Linked DNA regions of Oryza sativa Japonica Group. Each later gene encodes a partner of the first gene's protein in a complex. Links are inferred from orthologs where the notes say so. Each region holds a gene or a part of one and is shown in the gene's direction. Other genes may lie near its edges. The genes, in order: photosynthetic NDH subunit of lumenal location 5, chloroplastic; NAD(P)H-quinone oxidoreductase subunit N, chloroplastic; photosynthetic NDH subunit of subcomplex B 4, chloroplastic; photosynthetic NDH subunit of lumenal location 1, chloroplastic; photosynthetic NDH subunit of subcomplex B 1, chloroplastic.

The links.
Region 2: photosynthetic NDH subunit of lumenal location 5, chloroplastic (region 1) and NAD(P)H-quinone oxidoreductase subunit N, chloroplastic share a complex: the UniProt entries of both Arabidopsis thaliana proteins name them as parts of the chloroplast NDH complex. The link is inferred for Oryza sativa Japonica Group from reciprocal best matches to the Arabidopsis thaliana genes Pnsl5 and NdhN.
Region 3: photosynthetic NDH subunit of lumenal location 5, chloroplastic (region 1) and photosynthetic NDH subunit of subcomplex B 4, chloroplastic share a complex: the UniProt entries of both Arabidopsis thaliana proteins name them as parts of the chloroplast NDH complex. The link is inferred for Oryza sativa Japonica Group from reciprocal best matches to the Arabidopsis thaliana genes Pnsl5 and PnsB4.
Region 4: photosynthetic NDH subunit of lumenal location 5, chloroplastic (region 1) and photosynthetic NDH subunit of lumenal location 1, chloroplastic share a complex: the UniProt entries of both Arabidopsis thaliana proteins name them as parts of the chloroplast NDH complex. The link is inferred for Oryza sativa Japonica Group from reciprocal best matches to the Arabidopsis thaliana genes Pnsl5 and PnsL1.
Region 5: photosynthetic NDH subunit of lumenal location 5, chloroplastic (region 1) and photosynthetic NDH subunit of subcomplex B 1, chloroplastic share a complex: the UniProt entries of both Arabidopsis thaliana proteins name them as parts of the chloroplast NDH complex. The link is inferred for Oryza sativa Japonica Group from reciprocal best matches to the Arabidopsis thaliana genes Pnsl5 and PnsB1.

What each region holds. Positions count from the first base shown.
Region 1 is NC_089039.1:192,257-196,336, forward strand, and holds photosynthetic NDH subunit of lumenal location 5, chloroplastic, read left to right. Parts: upstream 1-1,269; 5' UTR 1,270-1,306; coding exon 1,307-1,336; intron 1,337-1,435; coding exon 1,436-1,624; intron 1,625-2,376; coding exon 2,377-2,527; intron 2,528-2,631; coding exon 2,632-2,720; intron 2,721-3,298; coding exon 3,299-3,353; intron 3,354-3,440; coding exon 3,441-3,526; intron 3,527-3,612; coding exon 3,613-3,765; 3' UTR 3,766-4,002; downstream 4,003-4,080. Other genes in the region: uncharacterized protein, read right to left, coding at 94-272. UniProt on the Arabidopsis thaliana protein: NDH shuttles electrons from NAD(P)H:plastoquinone, via FMN and iron-sulfur (Fe-S) centers, to quinones in the photosynthetic chain and possibly in a chloroplast respiratory chain.
Region 2 is NC_089035.1:38,936,196-38,939,084, reverse strand, and holds NAD(P)H-quinone oxidoreductase subunit N, chloroplastic, read left to right. Parts: upstream 1-1,128; 5' UTR 1,129-1,233; coding exon 1,234-1,596; intron 1,597-1,711; coding exon 1,712-1,828; intron 1,829-1,941; coding exon 1,942-2,027; intron 2,028-2,111; coding exon 2,112-2,181; 3' UTR 2,182-2,375; downstream 2,376-2,889. Other genes in the region: protein DMP7, read right to left, coding at 2,394-2,889. UniProt on the Arabidopsis thaliana protein: NDH shuttles electrons from NAD(P)H:plastoquinone, via FMN and iron-sulfur (Fe-S) centers, to quinones in the photosynthetic chain and possibly in a chloroplast respiratory chain.
Region 3 is NC_089036.1:31,696,006-31,699,366, forward strand, and holds photosynthetic NDH subunit of subcomplex B 4, chloroplastic, read left to right. Parts: upstream 1-1,361; 5' UTR 1,362-1,467; coding exon 1,468-1,557; intron 1,558-1,661; coding exon 1,662-1,706; intron 1,707-1,800; coding exon 1,801-1,954; intron 1,955-2,048; coding exon 2,049-2,104; intron 2,105-2,193; coding exon 2,194-2,265; intron 2,266-2,412; coding exon 2,413-2,541; 3' UTR 2,542-2,848; downstream 2,849-3,361. UniProt on the Arabidopsis thaliana protein: NDH shuttles electrons from NAD(P)H:plastoquinone, via FMN and iron-sulfur (Fe-S) centers, to quinones in the photosynthetic chain and possibly in a chloroplast respiratory chain.
Region 4 is NC_089037.1:9,604,692-9,608,372, forward strand, and holds photosynthetic NDH subunit of lumenal location 1, chloroplastic, read left to right. Parts: upstream 1-1,273; 5' UTR 1,274-1,393; coding exon 1,394-1,435; intron 1,436-1,511; coding exon 1,512-1,608; intron 1,609-1,694; coding exon 1,695-1,778; intron 1,779-1,921; coding exon 1,922-1,995; intron 1,996-2,105; coding exon 2,106-2,228; intron 2,229-2,360; coding exon 2,361-2,432; intron 2,433-2,617; coding exon 2,618-2,714; intron 2,715-2,867; coding exon 2,868-2,977; 3' UTR 2,978-3,181; downstream 3,182-3,681. Other genes in the region: E3 ubiquitin-protein ligase CSU1, read left to right, coding at 90-768. UniProt on the Arabidopsis thaliana protein: NDH shuttles electrons from NAD(P)H:plastoquinone, via FMN and iron-sulfur (Fe-S) centers, to quinones in the photosynthetic chain and possibly in a chloroplast respiratory chain.
Region 5 is NC_089042.1:10,686,227-10,690,233, forward strand, and holds the start of photosynthetic NDH subunit of subcomplex B 1, chloroplastic, read left to right. Parts: upstream 1-1,192; 5' UTR 1,193-1,389; coding exon 1,390-1,965; intron 1,966-2,721; coding exon 2,722-2,912; intron 2,913-3,433; coding exon 3,434-3,691; intron 3,692-3,811; coding exon 3,812-3,929; intron 3,930-4,007. UniProt on the Arabidopsis thaliana protein: NDH shuttles electrons from NAD(P)H:plastoquinone, via FMN and iron-sulfur (Fe-S) centers, to quinones in the photosynthetic chain and possibly in a chloroplast respiratory chain.

The sequences.
Region 1 (4,080 bases):
GAGCAATAATAGGTTAACAAAGTGAAGAGAGGGAGAGAGAGATGTGGATCTAAATCTGGGGGAAGAGGGAGATGAGATGGGGAGGGGACTGACGCGGAACCCTGGTTGTAGAGGTTGAGGGTGACGGCGAGGCGCTCCACGCCTGGACCCGGGCGGGACAGCGCAACCTTCTTCTGTGCTACCACGAACGGCGCATCCTGCCCGGCGGCGGCGGCGAAGGGCACGAGGAGGAGGAGGAGGAGGAAGAGGAGAGATCGCCACTGCTGCGCCATCACCGCTCACGGAGATTGCTTTGCTTCTTCCACCTCACCTCGACCGAGGCTATTGTTACATTACATGTGTGTTCAAGCCCATCCCATCTATTACATGGGCCCCCGTGAATACTATGCCCATCAGCCCATTTTACTACCTCCTGCCTCCTATGCGGCCCCCTCCCCTCTCTACCAAAAAAAAAATAATACCACCTCCTATTCTTATTTTTTAGCATTGTCCATATTTATATATGTGTTAATAGATCTAGACATATATGAATGTGAAGTCTTATAACCTAAAACTCAAGAAAAATATTTACTCAGGTCCTAGTTTTAAAAAATACTCAAAATACATATAAGGTTAACAATTAATTTATTCATCTAAGGGTTTAAAAATATGAATTGTTTATGTAGCTTACTTACCCAACATGAAAGTTTATATATAAATTTCAAGTTTTCACTTTTTTAAAAAAAATATTTTTGAGTTTTTTATGAGAGAGAAATTACTTACGCAAAAGATAATTTACATTAGAAATGAGGTATGTTCTCGAAAAAAGTTACATTAAAAACAGCAAAAAAAAAATTCTTGCAGTATATAATGGATAAATAATTTTTTTTAAAAAAATATAAAAATGTAAAATCTTAAAACTAGTGCATAAACTAGCATTTTTTTTCTTCTGAAACTTATGGTAGGATAAATCAAATATTAACCTTATATGGTGTATTTTAGGTATTTTTGAAAATAGTATAGTCCGATGGTATATTGTATAATAATTGATAACTTACCGATATATTATAGAAAGAGACACTGTAAATAAATAAATTTTAAATAGTTGGATTGGGACAAATAGAGTTGATTTAACAGATGCTTTTGGTCCCAAAAATAAAATATAGTACTTCCCCCAATGAAGAAGGTGTGTGTGATTATTGTATTTCCTGTGCACACATATGCAAAAATGCCATCCATTCATCCCAGTGCAATGCCCTATCTACCTATCCAATCCCAATCCACCTGAGCGAGAGAGAGAGAAAGGGTCTCCTCCTCAACATCAACAATGGCGGTCGCAACCTCCTTCGCCACACTCGTAAGCTCACTCATCCATGGCCTCTGCTCTCCTCTTCTTCCCCACCGAGCTCTCAATCTTATTATCGTCGCTCTTTCTTCTCTTGTGTTTGCACTGCAGGCCATCGCGCGGCCGGCGGCGGAGCGGGCCCTCCTCGCCTCCAAAACCCCCTCGCCGCTCCTCTCCATCCGCACCGGCACCGGCACCGCACGCCTCCCCTCATCGGCCGTCTTTGGAGGTTTCACTCCTGCGCTTTCCGCTGCTCACAGCCGCGCGCGCTTCGTCTCCTCCGCCACCGCTGACCCCAAGGTACTGTGTCCCCGGATCTTCTTCTTTTATCTGCCCTACATATATCTTTCTATTGCCGCACCGCATCCATTCTTGTAATCCTGTCTAGTAGTATATCAGTCAAATTTACTACTCCACCTTACTGGACTATTATTATGCAATCAGCCTCCGCAATACCGGCCCCTGTTTGTTGCCTCTTTGGAGGAAGAGATATTGGGTTAGCACAGATGACCTCGACCTTCCAACACCATTAAATTAAAACTAATACTAGTAATGCCTTTGTATGTCAAATTTTGTTATCAGATTTTTAAATCACCAGGTGAAATTTATGCTACCAAAATTGCAGTTTCAGGCTTATCATCACCAATGCTTTATTATGTATTCACCTGCTCTGATTAATAATTTTAGTTGCCTCGACCATAGGGTTCTGCTACTTACAGGTCTTACCTTGTATGTGCACCGAATGTAAACACGTTATTCATCATCAGTGACTGCCTGCAACATTGTGAGGAAACACGTGTGCCCTTCTGTACTACTGAAAGCTGGGTTTTCCTTTCCCATGTGCACTATGCGCTTTCATGTTTTCCTCCACTAGATGTTAACTTACGATATACTACCTCCTTCCTTTAATATATGACGTTGGTTAGTTCAATTAACATCATACATAAAAGAACAGCGCAAGTATCGATTATTCTTACCCTATGTGGGAGAACTGGATACCACGCTTCAAATTTATTCTTTCAGTTTTGCTAAACTTCTCCCATACATTGCAGGAAGTGGACCTCCAGTCCAAAATCACAAACAAGGTGTACTTTGACATAAGCATCGGAAACCCTGTTGGGAAGAACGTTGGGAGGGTCGTTATTGGCCTATACGGGGATGATGTTCCCCAGACCGCAGAGAACTTCCGTGCTCTTTGCACTGGTACAAAGGGCTTCTTGCTTTTCTTCTCTTCTGTCATCTACTACTTTACAGGATTACCCAGATTTGGTGCATGATACACATACCATTGCCCTTTTCCTTTTCAGGAGAAAAAGGGTTTGGTTACAAGGGGTCCAGTTTCCACCGTGTCATTAAGGACTTCATGATTCAGGGAGGAGACTTTGACAAGGGCAACGTATGTCTTCATTATTTACTTTCTTTATAATCTACTCCTATGTTGCACTTGTTCCTCTGTTTCATCTGACAAACTCTATTGGAAAAAGTCACATAGTGTAACATTACTCACAACACTGAATGAGCTCATGTGTTTGTTTCTATCTATCACCATTGAGCCAACTATTTCTCCAAAAAAAAAAAAGTTTGATTTGTTTTATCAATGTTAGCGCTTTATGCTGTTTTGGATAGAAAGCTGACCTATATATGTGTTTTGGATCATTATACAACTTTGTGTTATGCACTTCAGTGCTTGCCCTATGGTGTTTTAGATCATTATACTGCTTTGCATCATGTACATTATGAGTATGAATTGGTAGTTTGTGATCAGCATAATGTGTATGCAGTGATTATTGACTTCATGGCTAGATTACAAGGAGATTAGCACCAAATCCTTTTTCTTTAAATTGATGGCCTAAATTAAATCATGCAGCTGCCTGGTTTCATGAATTATGAATTTTTGACCTAGCCTACATCAAATCATTCAGCTTTCAACTTCTGCATGTGGATAAAGTAGGTTTCAAAAAATGAATATTTCAGGGTACTGGAGGGAAAAGCATATATGGCCGGACCTTCAAAGACGAGAACTTCAAATGTACGTCTGACAAATGACCTAATCTGATCGTTCTTTCTGCTTCTTATCTTGTGGTTGTGCTGATTATATGTCTTGTAATGTTTGTAGTGGTTCATACTGGACCTGGAGTGGTCAGCATGGCCAATGCTGGGCCAAACACCAATGGCAGCCAGTTCTTCATCTGCACTGTCAAGGTAACACTGTACTGATATGTTCACTGTGTACTAGTGTCGAAACTCACTCAAAATTACATTGCGCTGACTGCTACCTGCGAATGCAGACACCTTGGTTGGATGGGAGGCACGTCGTGTTTGGGCAGGTTATTGAAGGCATGGACATCGTTAAGATGATCGAATCGCAGGAGACTGACAGAGGGGACCGCCCGAAGAAGAAGGTGGTCATCAGTGAGTGTGGGGAGCTTCCAGTGGTCTAATAGGTGCCAGAGGGCTAATCTTCTTCCCCCGGAGACTTTGCTGTTTTTGGTTTCATAGTAAGCTGTGAACTTATCGCATGTTCTCCGCGCAGTCAGAGATCATGCTGAGTTGAGGCCAAGATTTCTAAGTTGAGAAGAATCCTCTATTGTTCGGCTGGAATAAAACGTTCTTACCTGTCGAGGGTCAGGAAATAATGTTGTGGTTCATGAAAGATCAAATGTCTGTCTTTTCGTGCATACGCAGACTAAAGTTACTCCTTTCCCAATACCTTTTGTTGCTGCATACTCTCTCTGTCCTAAAAAAAACAAACCCTG
Region 2 (2,889 bases), on another chromosome or scaffold:
GGGACGGGGAATGGTTCACCGTCCCCGCCCCCGTCATCCCCGATGGTGAGAGGTTTTTAACCATTTCATTCCCCATGGTGAGTGGATATTAACCATCCCCTGTCACCTAATAGGTGAATTCACCGCGGGGAAATGGTGAACGGGCCCCCATTGCCATCTCTACGCCCGGCTGGATCTGGCGGTGGGGCAGAGTGGTCGGGCGCAACGATTGGAGGTGTTGGCGGCGGCGGAGGAGGAGACCGCTAGATCCGTGCCTGGATCTAGCGGCGGCGGGCGAGGACCGGCGCCACTACGGCCGGATCCGGACGGCGACGATTGTGGGCGACGGTGACGGCGGTGGAGGTGCGGGAGGCTGCGTGAAATCCTAGCCCGGTCTTGGCCAGACCAGCAACGATGATGTTCGAGCGTCATTCCCCTCCTAAGGCCGTTGTTATGCCATCTCACCCTCAAGTGTAGTTGTCGGGCGAAAGCCTAGTCTTGGTTCGATTTGAGATCTTGATAGACTGTGGCGGCGATGTTTCATCACTTCTCTCCGTTTTCGTGGTAGAAACTAGAAACATCGTCTAGGCATCACCTTGTTGAAACCCTCAAGCTTTTGGTGCAAGCTCACTCTAGATTCTCATCCTCTTGTGACAGCGTTCTAGTTTCTGCAAGTTGGCCATGTCGAAGGGACTAAGGGAAGAGGAATTTCATTCTTCTCTCTCACCCTCTCCCTAAATCCCGAAGACTTGGATAGAGTGGTTTTGCGTTGGTTGTAAGGGTCGGGTTTGGGCAAAATCTCGGCTGTGTTTCGTTGTTGGCCTAGTGGTGGTCGGTCACGCTTAGCGGCGGCTGGCCCGGTGATAGCCTTATCTTGATTTTGTGTTGGTGCTATCGGTGTGTGGGTGGTGATGTACTTTTTTTCATTTTTCTTGGTTACAATATTACAACATTGTAATCTTGTATTTTTTTTCCTACTCTATCAATGGAACTTACGGGTTACGGCTTTCTGGTGTTGGGGTTCGTATTTGGGCCTGATCTAGCGTGGTTACATGCTTGGGCCACGTCTCGGACCATCCGCTTGGGTGGACTCCGCGGAGATCACCGCTCAGTTGAACAAACTGGGCGCACGACACCGTCTCCGAGTCTTATCCGCTCAACGCGGTCAGTACGCGCGCGGCTGTTATCTTCCCGCCACAGGCTCAAACAAACGACACCCACCCACCCACACACACTACACTACAGCAACCAGCGATGTGGTCGGCGGCGGCGGCGCGCACGGTGACCCCGCTGCCGGCGGCGTCGCCCCTGCAGCAGCATCAGCAGCGGCGCGGGGCGTGGGCGCGGGTGGGCAATGGTCGGGCGGCGAGCACGACGGCGGCGCGGGCAGGGCTGTGGGACTTCGTGGGAGGGGACCTGGTGAAGCCGGACATGGGGCGGTGGCTGGACGACGTGGAGAAGCACAAGTCGCTGGCCATCTACCCGCCGCACGAGGGCGGCTACGAGGGCCGCTACCTCAGCCGCCTCAGCTACCAGGGCTACTACTTCCTCGACCTCTCCGCCCGCGGCCTCGGCGACCCCGAGACCACCCTCACCAAGATCCACCCCGTCTGCCCGGTCAGTCCACAAAACAATCCTCTCTCTCGATCTCGATCTCGAGCTAGCTAGTAGCTAGCTGCCTCCGATCATGGCTGACACGAGCTTGCTTGCTTGATTGCTCTGATGTGCGCAGCCGAGCCTCGGGAGGCAGCCGGTGGCGAGGTGGTACTTCCCGCCGGAGGTGGACTACAGGCTCAGCTTGCTGCACCCGGACGCCAAGGGCCTCGTCGTCTGGGTCATGGAAGCCAAGGTCTCCATCCATTGATCCATCGATCTCACCATCCTGTTCTCTAGCTCAGCTCTGCAATTTCCCGTTTCGTTTCTGCGTCCCGTTAATTTGTTTGGTGGTTTCTATTTCTGCAGGTTCTCTCCAAGGCCGAGCTGCAGTTCCTCGCCATTCTCCCTGACATCCGCCCCAAAGTCAGGGTGATCGCGGAATGCGGCAACTGGTACGTAAACCTGAACCCCGAAATTAATGATGACGATGTGTTCTTGTGATCTCTGAATTAAATTCTGTGCCCTGTTTGGCCCAGGAGGAAATTTGTGTGGAAGCCGCTGAAGCAAATCGCGGGCCTTGAGCCGGACCCTGACGCAGAGGAATGAACAAGATCAAGACCATTAACAGGCAGCCTGAAACAAAGTTACTTGATATATATCTCATCCAACACACATTGTTTCCCGCTTTGTACTTCACTTGAGAGAGGCAATGAAGAATGTACATACATTTTGGCTCAAATTACCCCAAGACAACCATGTAAAATCAAACTTTCACATAATACAAATCCATCAGAAGACCATGCGATCCTTTCGTCTCATCAGCGGCGTAGGTAGACAAGGTCGGTGCTGAGCAGGAACGGGTACCCGATTCCCCTCCTCTTGGACGGGAAGAGCACGAAGAGGAGGCTGACCACGAAGCCGATCACGAGGGGCACCGTGTTCACCACCTTCCTGGGCACGCCGGGGTAGTAGCACAGCACGATGTCGTGGTGCGACGCGGCGAACGTGACGAAGGCGACGAGGGCCAGGGCGGTGTGGAAGAGGTCCGACCACCGCAGCCTGTACCTCTCCGGCTCCCTCGGCCCCGCCTTCCCGCCGCCCCGCCGGCGACGCCGGCCGCCGACGCAGAACGTGCGGATGCCGCTCGTCGTGGCGATGCCGTACCGGAGGCGGCCGGTGGGGGAGCGGAAGCTGTCGGTGAGCGTGAAGAAGACGCAGGAGGCAGCGCAGAGGAGCATGAGGGCGCCGGTGAGGGCGCGGTTGAGGCGGGTGCACTTGCCGTCGTCGGTGAGGAGGGGCGCGAAGATGGCGAAG
Region 3 (3,361 bases), on another chromosome or scaffold:
TTATGTTTCACTCATTGGTATTTAACGTTTTGTGTAGTGGTTGTGATTGTTTCAGTTAGTAAATTGTTGTATTTCTCTAAATTTGAAACAATTCACGAGGTGAGTTGTAATATTTGTGTACATGTGATGAAACAGTTTTCTATCAATGGTGAGACAAGTTATTTTTTGAGACACATGTATATTTTTATCAAAATATAACCATGTGAGATCTTGTTATAAAGATTTAATGATGATGAATCTAATGGTATCATTGAAATTTAGATCAGAATATATAATTTTGGAGAAAAAAATATTTAAAATTTGAGGAAAAAATTAGGCACATGTAATAATAGAAGGGAGAGGGAGGGAGCGTATGCAAGCAGCAGCGCAAGCAACACATACAGGGGAGGCAAGCAACGTGGCACGTGAACAATGCAGCATGGGCGGCCTACATGCATGCGTATGCGCGCGGCAGTGCGGGGGTGAGCGTTGACCAGCAAGTGAAACATTATGTTATATATGGTGAAACAAAAAAAATCAACAACCGAAACATTTAAGTATTTTATGAAACATGGTGAAAATACACGTTGAAACATGTCGCTGGCACATATGAAACAACAAGTATTAACGAATTGAAACATATATTTTTCTTTTATCAAAATAAAATCATGTGATATTTTATTGTAAAGATTTAATTAGAACAAATATAATGGTGTGATCGGATCATAAATTGGATAAGTAATTTAAGAGAAAAATTATTTTGAAGCTTGCTAAAATACATACATGTGTGCATGGATGAGGTGGAGAGAGAGGAGAGAGAGTAGTAGCAGTTAGTTTCATGAATTTTGTGAAACACACCGATGACACATATTGAAACATATCACTATCACGTACGAAACATTTTGTTTTAACGTTTTGAAATACATGTTTTTCTTTTGACATAATATAATCATGTGATATCTCATTGTAAAGATTTAATTGCAACGAATAGAACGGTGTGATCGGATCGTAAATTGGATAAGTAATTTAGGATAAAAAATATCTAAAGAGAGGAGAAAAGAATGAAAAGAAGCAGTTAGACACATACGTTACAGTGACAGGGTTCGTTCTCACATGCCTGCATGGGCGTCCGATTTTTGGTGAGATGCCGGACGCCAAGCCGTAGCGCCCTCCAAGAAATGGCGGACGGATGCACGTAACGGGCCACGAGCCCACGGGTCAACCTAATCCCATCCGGCCCAAACATGACCTTGACCGGGCAAGGCCTAGCAACGCTCAAGCCCGCTTCAACCAAGCCCAAAATTCTTGTGCTTTTCGTCTGCCCAAGATCAGACAATGGTTGGCCACCCAAAAGTCTGACCTTATCCACTAAAATTTTCCATACAGATTACAGGTTACAGGTTTCACCCCTGAGCCAAACGTGAGCCCGCTACACTGACAACAACAAGCTCATCGCCAACCCGCTACTGAAGCAGCAGCCTACCAGCAATGGCGTTGCCGCTGCTCAAGTCGTCCCCCCACTTCTCTGCTCTTCACTCCGCGAACAGAGCCCAGCTCCATGGCCGCTGCCGTGCAACGGTACCGCACCGTCCATTCTCCCCTTCGCGTTCATGCAAAAACTGCTTTCCTGAATTCCTTGCGAATTTCACCTACTTGTTCAAATGTTGTTGTTAAATTTGCAGCTCGGTGGATTCCATGACCCGAGGTCCAACTCCAGCCGTTGCAAGGTGAAAGGTCCCAGTGCATTTTAATTTTTTCACCGAGAAAGAAGAAATCCGTGGTGATTGGTGAGGCAAAGTAATGCGGTCTTAGCGTTTGCAGAAATCGGCCGGGAGGGGTTCAGTGAAGGCGAACGCGTCCCCGTTGGACGTGGTGACGCTGATGGTGACGATGGTGGAGCACGTCGACCTGCAGAGGGACTACGTCGTGCACAAGTCGATCTGGCATCTCAGCGACGCCGCCCTCAAGAGCGTCTGTGAGTCGTCGTCGTCGTTTCACCTTTCCTGCAGTTTGTTGTTACGTCTGAAACTGAAACTTTTCACAAAAAAATTTCTCTGTCTGTCTCGTAGATACCTTCTACGCCTTCTTCACAGTCTGGGGCATCTGCTTCTTTGCGTCCATGAAGGCAAGCACGCAGAACATATGCCACTACAACTTGGAACGAAATTACATCTTCGATATGTGTTACTGACACGGTCTTGTGTGAATTTACAGGATCCTTTCTACGACAGTGAGGCGTACAGGGGACAAGGGGGTGACGGCACCGTGCACTGGTACTATGACCGGGTATGTCTTTCATTACGGCTTTTTTTTTTTCCTTTATCACGAAGAAAGAACATTCAGACAATTAGACAAACTCTAGTTGTGCGAAGCTACTAAGATAACCAGTCATTTTGCTGATCGATCTCCACTCTCCCATGGTTGATTCTGCAGCAAGAGGACCTGGAGGCGTCTGCAAGAGAGGAGCTCCTGAGGGAGGAGCTACTCGAGGAGATCGAGCAGAGGGTCGGAGGGCTCAGAGAACTCGAGGAAGCAGCCAAGGAGGAGCAGCTTACAAACTGATGGATGAATGAGAGATTGCGCATGGATGGATGACTGCATGATCATGGCGCGATGCGGCTGCATTCTGTAATACCGTACAGAGCGGCTGTGTAATAGCAAGATACACAGTTGCCTGATAGCGCCTGTAAATGTTGGCATCAGACTCAAAAGGAAAGCAAATAGGTGCTCCGTCTGCATGAATGCATTATATTGCATTTGTAGTGTAGGCTAAAAGAAGGAATGTACTACTCCATGTTAATCAAAGAACCTGTACCGTTCACCATGGTGGATATTGCTTCCAAAATATATAAATTGTGTAAATCGACTGATATAGACCTACACCATGGTGGATATACGTGCCCTGTGGAGACGGAAGTTTTGTCAGATCGCAACCAAATTGTGGCGATCCAATATGCTTTCGTTCTGTCGGCTCTCACGGTGTCGGGCCAACTTTATTTGGGTCCAGTACAGAATGGTAGCGATTATGGGCTACCTTTACCGGGCCGCTCGGTGATGGACTGGCCCAAAAAACTCCGTTAGTTCGGCCTGCTTGCGCTGGTGGTCGCGCGCTGGGAATTGGACGCCATCGTCGGCCACGGCCATTCGATCGAGGAAGAAGAACCGCTGATCATACTTGAGCTGCTCCACTACAGGCCGCGAACCAGCAGCAATCAGTCTGCACTCAACGTACAGTACAGACCACACTACCACAGTAGGTAGCACATGTATATACTACTTGTATAGGGTGCAGAACTTCGTAGTATTCCGTCGATCAGCTCATCAGTCATCAGAGACTAACAATAGTTATTTCGACACAGGTCTCTCGACAGGCTTGAATCGG
Region 4 (3,681 bases), on another chromosome or scaffold:
CTGAAATCTCCGTACATAATCTTAAATCTTCTGCTTGTATAACTGAATGAATCGGATGGAATTCTGAGTGTTAATTCTTGTTCTTCCAGCAAACTTGCTGCTCATGAGGCCCAGAAAAAGCTGGAGAAGGAAGAGGAGGATGAGAAGCGTATGCTGCAAAAGTCCAAGGAGTTGGACGCTTTTGATCAGCAGAATCATGGAGCCGTCCCCCAATACCACGATCGCAGCGGCTCTGAAGACAAGAATGGTTTTCATGGAGCAAACAGCGTGAAGGTTACTTCCTTTGAGGAGGAAGCCCTTCGCAACATGAAGGCATTCTGGCTTCCATCAGCTACACCTGAAGCTACTGCCAAAGTAGAAGCTCCCTCCACTGACACAATCTGCCCCGAGGGACAGGAGAAGCTCAAGTTGAAATCGCTCTTCCCTATCTCCTTCACTGAAGAAAACACCGACCAGAAAAACAAGAAGTCGGTGGAGAAGAGCTACATGTGCCCCAGTTGCAAGTCTACCCTAACAAACACCATGTCCCTGGTGACGATCAGCACGTGTGGCCATGTCTTCTGCAAGAAGTGCTCTGACAAGTTCCTTGTAACTGATAAGGTCTGCTTGGTGTGCAACAAACCGTGCAAGGAGAGGAATTTCGTTCCTTTGGAAAAAGGAGGAACTGGATTCGCTGCCCATGATGAGCGTCTAGAGGCGAGAGATTTCAAGCATTTGGGGAGTGGTTCTGGACTGGGTTTAGTGAAACCTGCCCCAAAGAACTACTAGCCTCAAAATATCTTAGCTGCTGTTGTATATTATTTATGTTAACCTGAAAATTTTGTTTCAAGCATCCCCTTTCGCTGTGAACAGTCTGGAGCAAATTCAGTCTTGTTATGCTAGTGGCACTATGGTTGCTAATTGCAGCTTTGCTTATTTGCTATGGCTAAATGCGTTAGTTCGCAGCTGTTGTACTATTTATCTACCAAGTTTGAAGCACAGTCAAAATCATCTTTCTTGTTACATCGAAGCTATCGAATATGTATCGCATGATCTGATGGTAGGATCGTGTGTGTGTGTGTGTACATATATTGTTTTTCAGCCAAAGTCAATGTACAAAAAAAAAGGTAAAAAGAGAATTGGAAAAACATAAAGCTCTCACATATCTCCACCACAATCACAACAGGAACGGATTGGTCCCATTTTGTCAGTCAGTGCTCAGTACGAGACAAGGCCAAAAGTTCTAATGAGGATAATGGAAATGCTGACCTGGCTTCCTTGCCCTCCACTCACACAGACACACAGACTACACTTGAAAAGCGAACGAGCCAGTCCTAGCAGCAAAGGATAACTTGACTGGAGGAAGGCAAGAACACGTATTTTCTTCAGGTTCATAGCTACTCCTGCAGGTGAAATGGCAAGCCTGCAGAATTTGATCTGCTCCGTTTCCAAGCAGGTGTGTGCTTGTGCCCTCTTCTCATCGTTTTCTGAATCTTGTTTATTTCACCACTTTATATCGGTGTTGTTTTCAGTTGGTTGCTCCAAATTGTGCTGTTACCAGCAAGCTGAATGCGTCTCCTCTGTCAGTCGTCAACGCTAGCTCGAGTGAAGCATCCTCGGATGAAAAGAGTAAATTCCTCTCTGTCAGTTCTCTCGATGCATTTTGTTTCTGAAGATTAACATTTTTTTTGGCTGATTATCTCTCCATCTTACAGATGTGACAAGGAGGAGATTAGCTCTGCTTGGTGCTGGAGCATTAGCCACTGGTCTGCTAAAGAGCAGCTCTGCATATGCTGAAGGCATGGCCATCTGAACTGTCGCATGGTTTTATTTCAGTACTAGGTTGTCTGCATGTTACATACAAGTTCCCACTTCTCAAGTAGCCATTAAGCCTTTATGGCACCATGAGATGATACTAACTCGGATTGTTCCTATATTCCAGAAGTGCCAAAGAATTACAAGTCTTATGTGGATTCAAAAGATGGATATTCATACCTGTATCCAGCTGATTGGAGGGTAGGTTGCAATATTTTCGTCTTGAAGAACAGAGATGTCAGTTCCAATGACTGTGTTTTCGGTGGTACATGGTATTGATGTATGCCCTTTGTTTTGATGTGTCACTTCAGGATTTCGACTTCCTGGGGCATGATTCAGCGTTCAAAGATCGTAATGTAGCGCTGCAGTGCGTGCGTGTGGGCTTCATTCCTACTACAAAAACAGATATCCGTGACCTTGGTCCAATGGATGAGGTAGGATTTCATGCGATATCTGATAATATCTTTCTTGGTAATGTAAAGGAATCAGGCAATTTTTTTAGCCTTTTCTTTTGTTATACATCATAGATTTTTTTTATTCTGACAATTTACATACTCCTCTATCAGGCGATCTTCAATTTGGTGAACAATGTTTATGCTGCTCCAAATCAAATACCAACTGTCTATGACATGCAAGAGGTTTGCCATTTATCCATCTCCTTCAATCAATACTATTTAGCCATATGATCTATCTGAGTATACCAAACTGTCGCTGCATTGCTCTTTCGCTGATTAATTTACGTCTGATCTCATTGGAATGGCTATAACAAAGACTGCAACAACTCTGCAAGCAAAATAAGCAACTGAGTTGTTGTGATTCGCAGCGCACCGTGGATGGCAAGAACTACTGGACATTTGAGTACGATCTTGAGGCCCCGGGCTACGGCGTGTCCGCATTTGCGACGGTTGCCATTGGAAACGGTATGATATTGATATGATGCCTCCTCACCACAAGATCGCAGAGATATATATCATCATCATCTATTAAATTGTATATTTCATCATGCATGTATTTTTTTTTCCTCTCATAAGAAGAAGCTGGTTAACCTGATGGCAATGGCAATGGCATGGCAGGTCGGTACTACACACTGATCGTGACGGCGAACGAGCGGCGATGGAGTAGGCTGAGGAACAGGCTCAAAGTCGTCGCCGACTCCTTCAAGCTGTCCGACCTCACCGCGTGATGGGAGGCAGTTCAATTGCAGAAATATCTTTTATTTTATTGCTTCGTAGTCATGTAGATACATACATACATACAGACGCTGATCTACCACTAGAAAAAGTGCTGGATCGAACACCCTGGCTCAGCTTCCAGGAAAAAGGATGCATAATTACCTTATAGACTTCAATTAATTAATTGTGTGTATGCTATTAGAGCTATTTTTCTATTATAGCCATCTAATTATGTTGATTGAATCGGTTCAACCATCAGTTGCAACTTGCAAGCGACGAGTAGCCATCAGTTAAAAAGGCAGACCATTAGGCCATAGTCTCCGGAGCCAAGGACTTAACAGATCAACAGCGTTTCTATACAGACGTGTGCACGATCAAACCAATACATTACAGAGGCGAAAGGAATCAAGTACACAGGCCTCAGAAAGAATGTTTGCAACTCATATATTACAACAATTACAATGCCCTCCAAACTTGCTAACTATTTCCAGAATAAGTTCCCCTCCAAACCCGCTAACTATTTCCAGAATAAGTTCCTAGAGTTTCAACAAAGCTAGTCATCTGAATCTTCAGACTAAAATTTTGTTGTCAAGACCAGGTCACCATTCCGCTCATTCAGAGCAGCGCCAGCGACACCTAACATTTTTCCTCCGACAAAACGGTAAGCCACAGAACCATGACCCCTGGCTGAACAGAGCGAAAAGGAACTTGATCA
Region 5 (4,007 bases), on another chromosome or scaffold:
GGAGAAAAAGGCGACGTGGGGGCACGGCCGCCCGTCCAGTCAGACGTGACCGGCAACAGGCCGGTGACAGACTGGTTAGTCCTGACTGACGTGCGTCAGTCGGACGGCACCGCATGTCTGCCCCTACCGCATTAAATGCGGTGAGGGGCAGTTGGGGCGCCGCGCGCATTGATAGCGGTTCAGCCTGGGTCCCCTCCCCGCTCGCTCCCCCTGCCACATGGCAGTCGGGCGAGGTCCTCGGGGCAGGGCAGCGCGAGGGCCCGAGGGGCATGACGTGGCACCCTGAGGCCCCCCGGCCGCTTCTGCGATTCGCGAGGTGCGGGGGTAGGGCCAGGCTGCAGGGCCACGTAGCTGGATGGGAAGGTAAATTCCCCTCACTTTACATACCCCCGGGCCCATATCTCCGACAGATAGCTAGATAACATCAAATTAAGTAAATTAATGTGATTTATGATAATTTAAATTTAAATAGTATGTAGAATGGTGATTCAAACGTAAAAAGTAAGGTGGTATGACTTTATGGAAGAAGAAAAGTAGGGTAGTTTGGACCGTAGATTAATCATTTAAAGGCTAAAAACAATTGATGTGATATGACTTAATTAGAGGAAAAAAGGAGAAATATAATTTGGACCATAGATTAATCATTTAAGCACTAACTAAGTGAGGATGAACTATATAAGTATGTACTTCCTCCGTTTCACAATGTAAGTCATAACATCAATATGAATGTGGGAAATGCTATAATGACTTACATTGTGAAACGGATGGAGTAGGATTTTATAAAATATAGATATACATTGAAACATTGTGTGAATTATGTGGGATGATAATTTAACATGCTTGTATTTTAAAAGCTCTTAAATTATAAAAACTATAAAATTATAGATAATATAACATGTTTGCATGATGTTTAAATGTGATGATCGTTAGTGGATGATGATGTGGCATCTGGTTAATTAGTGGATAATGATGTGGCATCTTTGCATGTTAAGCTTAAATGAGTTAGTGGGGGGTAATTTTATAGTAAGATAGGATTAGTTCAGCTGTCATAAAGATAAATCTTCTACAATTACTCCATTCTGAAAGATCCTTGTAGAAACTCACAAGTATAATCCAAACTCCAAAAGAATTTTCGGAGGGATTTTGCCAGCTGCCACATCAACAAAAAGGATGAACCAAATTAAAGGAGATCGAGGAATGGTGGCACAAGAAAACAGGACCAATTGGCACCATCATCGTGCACTTTATCCTTCCTCCTCCACACATCCCTAACCCACCACATCCAAACCCCTCCTCCACACACCAAAAAACAAAAAACATAGAAATAAATAAATAAAAACAATAGCAATATCCAAAGCAACTCATCAGCACACTCACTCTGCAACAAGCATGCAGACGCCAACCATGTCGACGTCCATGGCCACGCCGGCGAAGCTCCCCTCACCGCCGTCGCTGCCGATAGCGAGGCAATGCTGCTGCCACCTGCTGCAGCTAGGGCGGCGCGGCGGCGCGGGCGTGGCGCGGGCGTCGGCGAAGAAGAAGAACCCGTGGCTGGACCCGTTCGACGACGGGCCCGACGACGAGTTCGACTACCGCGGCGCGTTCTCGGGGGGGAAGCAGGAGGAGGACCCGCGGCCGCCGGAGGACCCGGCGAACCCGTACGGGTTCCTGCGGTTCCCGGCGGGGTACAACCCGGAGCTGGATAGCCTGGCATCCAAGGTGCGGCGCGACGTGCGGCGGGCGTGCTGCGTGGTGTCCGGCGGGGTGTACGAGAACGTGCTCTTCTTCCCGGTGGTGCAGCTGCTGCGGGACAGGTACCCCGGGGTGGTGGTGGACGTGGTGGCGTCGGCGAGGGGGAAGCAGGTGTACGAGATGTGCAAGAACGTCAGGTACGCCGACGTCTACGACCCCGACGACGACTGGCCCGAGCCCGCCGAGTACACCCACCAGCTCGGCGTGCTCAAGGTAAACCAAAAATTATGTCACTGCTACGTACAGAAATAGTCACTCAAAGTGGGGATGTATATGTTTTAAACTCGATCGAGAAGGGATTATGTCCACTCGTTTATTCAAACTTCATCTAAATAATTGTTAAGAATTCTTTCAAAATTGACAACATACACACCGTACGTGTAAAGTACTCAAAAAAAAATCAAGTCAAAATTCAACTCACACATTGAGAAATAATTAAAAAAAAATCCAACATATGAGTAGTGTCATGTCTGAATTCGTCTTTTGTTTCCTCAAAGCATAGATCGAATTTAAATATGTTTTTATGGAGTAATAGATGTTATTATGCATTGTCATTTTTTTTTAGAATTTTTCACAACCAATTACATTGAATTTAGAAAATAAAAATTACACGAGAAGATATCCTCTCGAGAGATTAGAATTCTCTCTCCTTCAGAAGTGTCATGCCCAGCCCAGGTTTACATTCTCTAATGGTCAGCAGATTTCGACTTTCGAGCCATAGTGAGTAATCGGTTTTTCATTAATTTCGACAAATTTCAAACAAACCATTGGAGTTGCACATCTCGAGCCGGTTCGATATATGCGCTGAATTTGTTCAAAATTTATTGTGATTCTCTAAACATAATAATATCAGATAAACCTGCTTAATTATGTTGCTTCCCCACCACATATGCTCAGTATTTTGATTAGATTATATTTATCATGAAAGATTCAACCAACTGAAGCTTGATTTTGTGTTGAGGTTGGCAGAACAGGTACTATGATCTGATCATATCGACCAAGTTGGCCGGGATAGGGCACGCGCTCTTCCTCTTCATGTCGTCGGCCCGCGACAAGGTCGGCTATGTTTACCCCAACGTCAACAGCGCCGGCGCCGGGCTGTTCCTCACCGAGATGTTCCGGCCGCCGACCACCAACCTCGCCGACAGCGGCTACAACATGTAAGATCATCATCCTCCTCTTCTCCGCGGTTTCGCCTCCCCTTGGTTCATAACTGTTATAATTTCCTCATCCGAAAAAGTTACTGCTTTGGCATTCTTGTGCTGTATAGTTGCATTTAATTTATATAGGGGCAACTGTCTCATCTTTTGCCTTTGATTTAGGTTGAAAAGCCATAACAAAATGAACTAGGCAACCGAATATGATTTGTTGGCAAAACTTTTAACTGTTCTTAATGGTTCAAAAGTCAATATTGAGAAATAAACTATGATAAGGAAAACTCAAAATCAAATCTAAAATTAAATTTTAAAATTTAATATTTGGTTGCGGCTAATAAGACAAACAAGCAGAGGCAGAGTTATAACCCTTATAGTAAAGCAGATATTGCCTAGCTCTTCTTTTGCAACTTAGGAATCTTGCTCAATTATTCTTGTAGAAGAGTTGAACCAATTACCGTCAAAATCCTATAAAATTCTTGCAAAATGCTTTCTGATTTCGAAGAGTGTGCAACTGGATGGATTAGGTATCAGGACATGTTGGAGTGGATTGGGCGGCCAGCGAAGGGTGTGCCGGAGCACCCGGTACCGCCGTTGCGGGTGTCCATCTCCAAGAAGCTCCGAGCGTTCGTGGAGGACAAATATAGCCGTGCCGGCGTCGAGAAGGGCAAGTTCGTCGTCGTCCACGGCATCGCCTCCGACTCCTTCGCCAACATGAGGTCGAGGGGGGACGATGACTGCCTCCTCCCTCTCGAGCATTGGGCTGAGATCGCCAAGGAGATCAGGTTTTTCACCTCACCTCACTCACTCACTCAAGCACGGCTGCTCTTACACTTACATTTCCAGCTTGGTACCGATTGTGAGAAGGTAGAACTAAAGCCAAAAAAATGGTGGTGTCTTGGCAGCTCTGAAGACAATGGTCTGAAGCCTCTGTTTGTGATCCCTCATCAGAAGCACAGGGAAGAGGTTGAGGAGACTGTGGGGAAGGACACCAATATCCTGTTCATCACCACTCCTGGCCAAGTAGGTTCTTTGATGCTTCTTCATTACAATCACTTTGCAATCTGAAAACACCTTAGATCATCTTTCACAGGTAACATT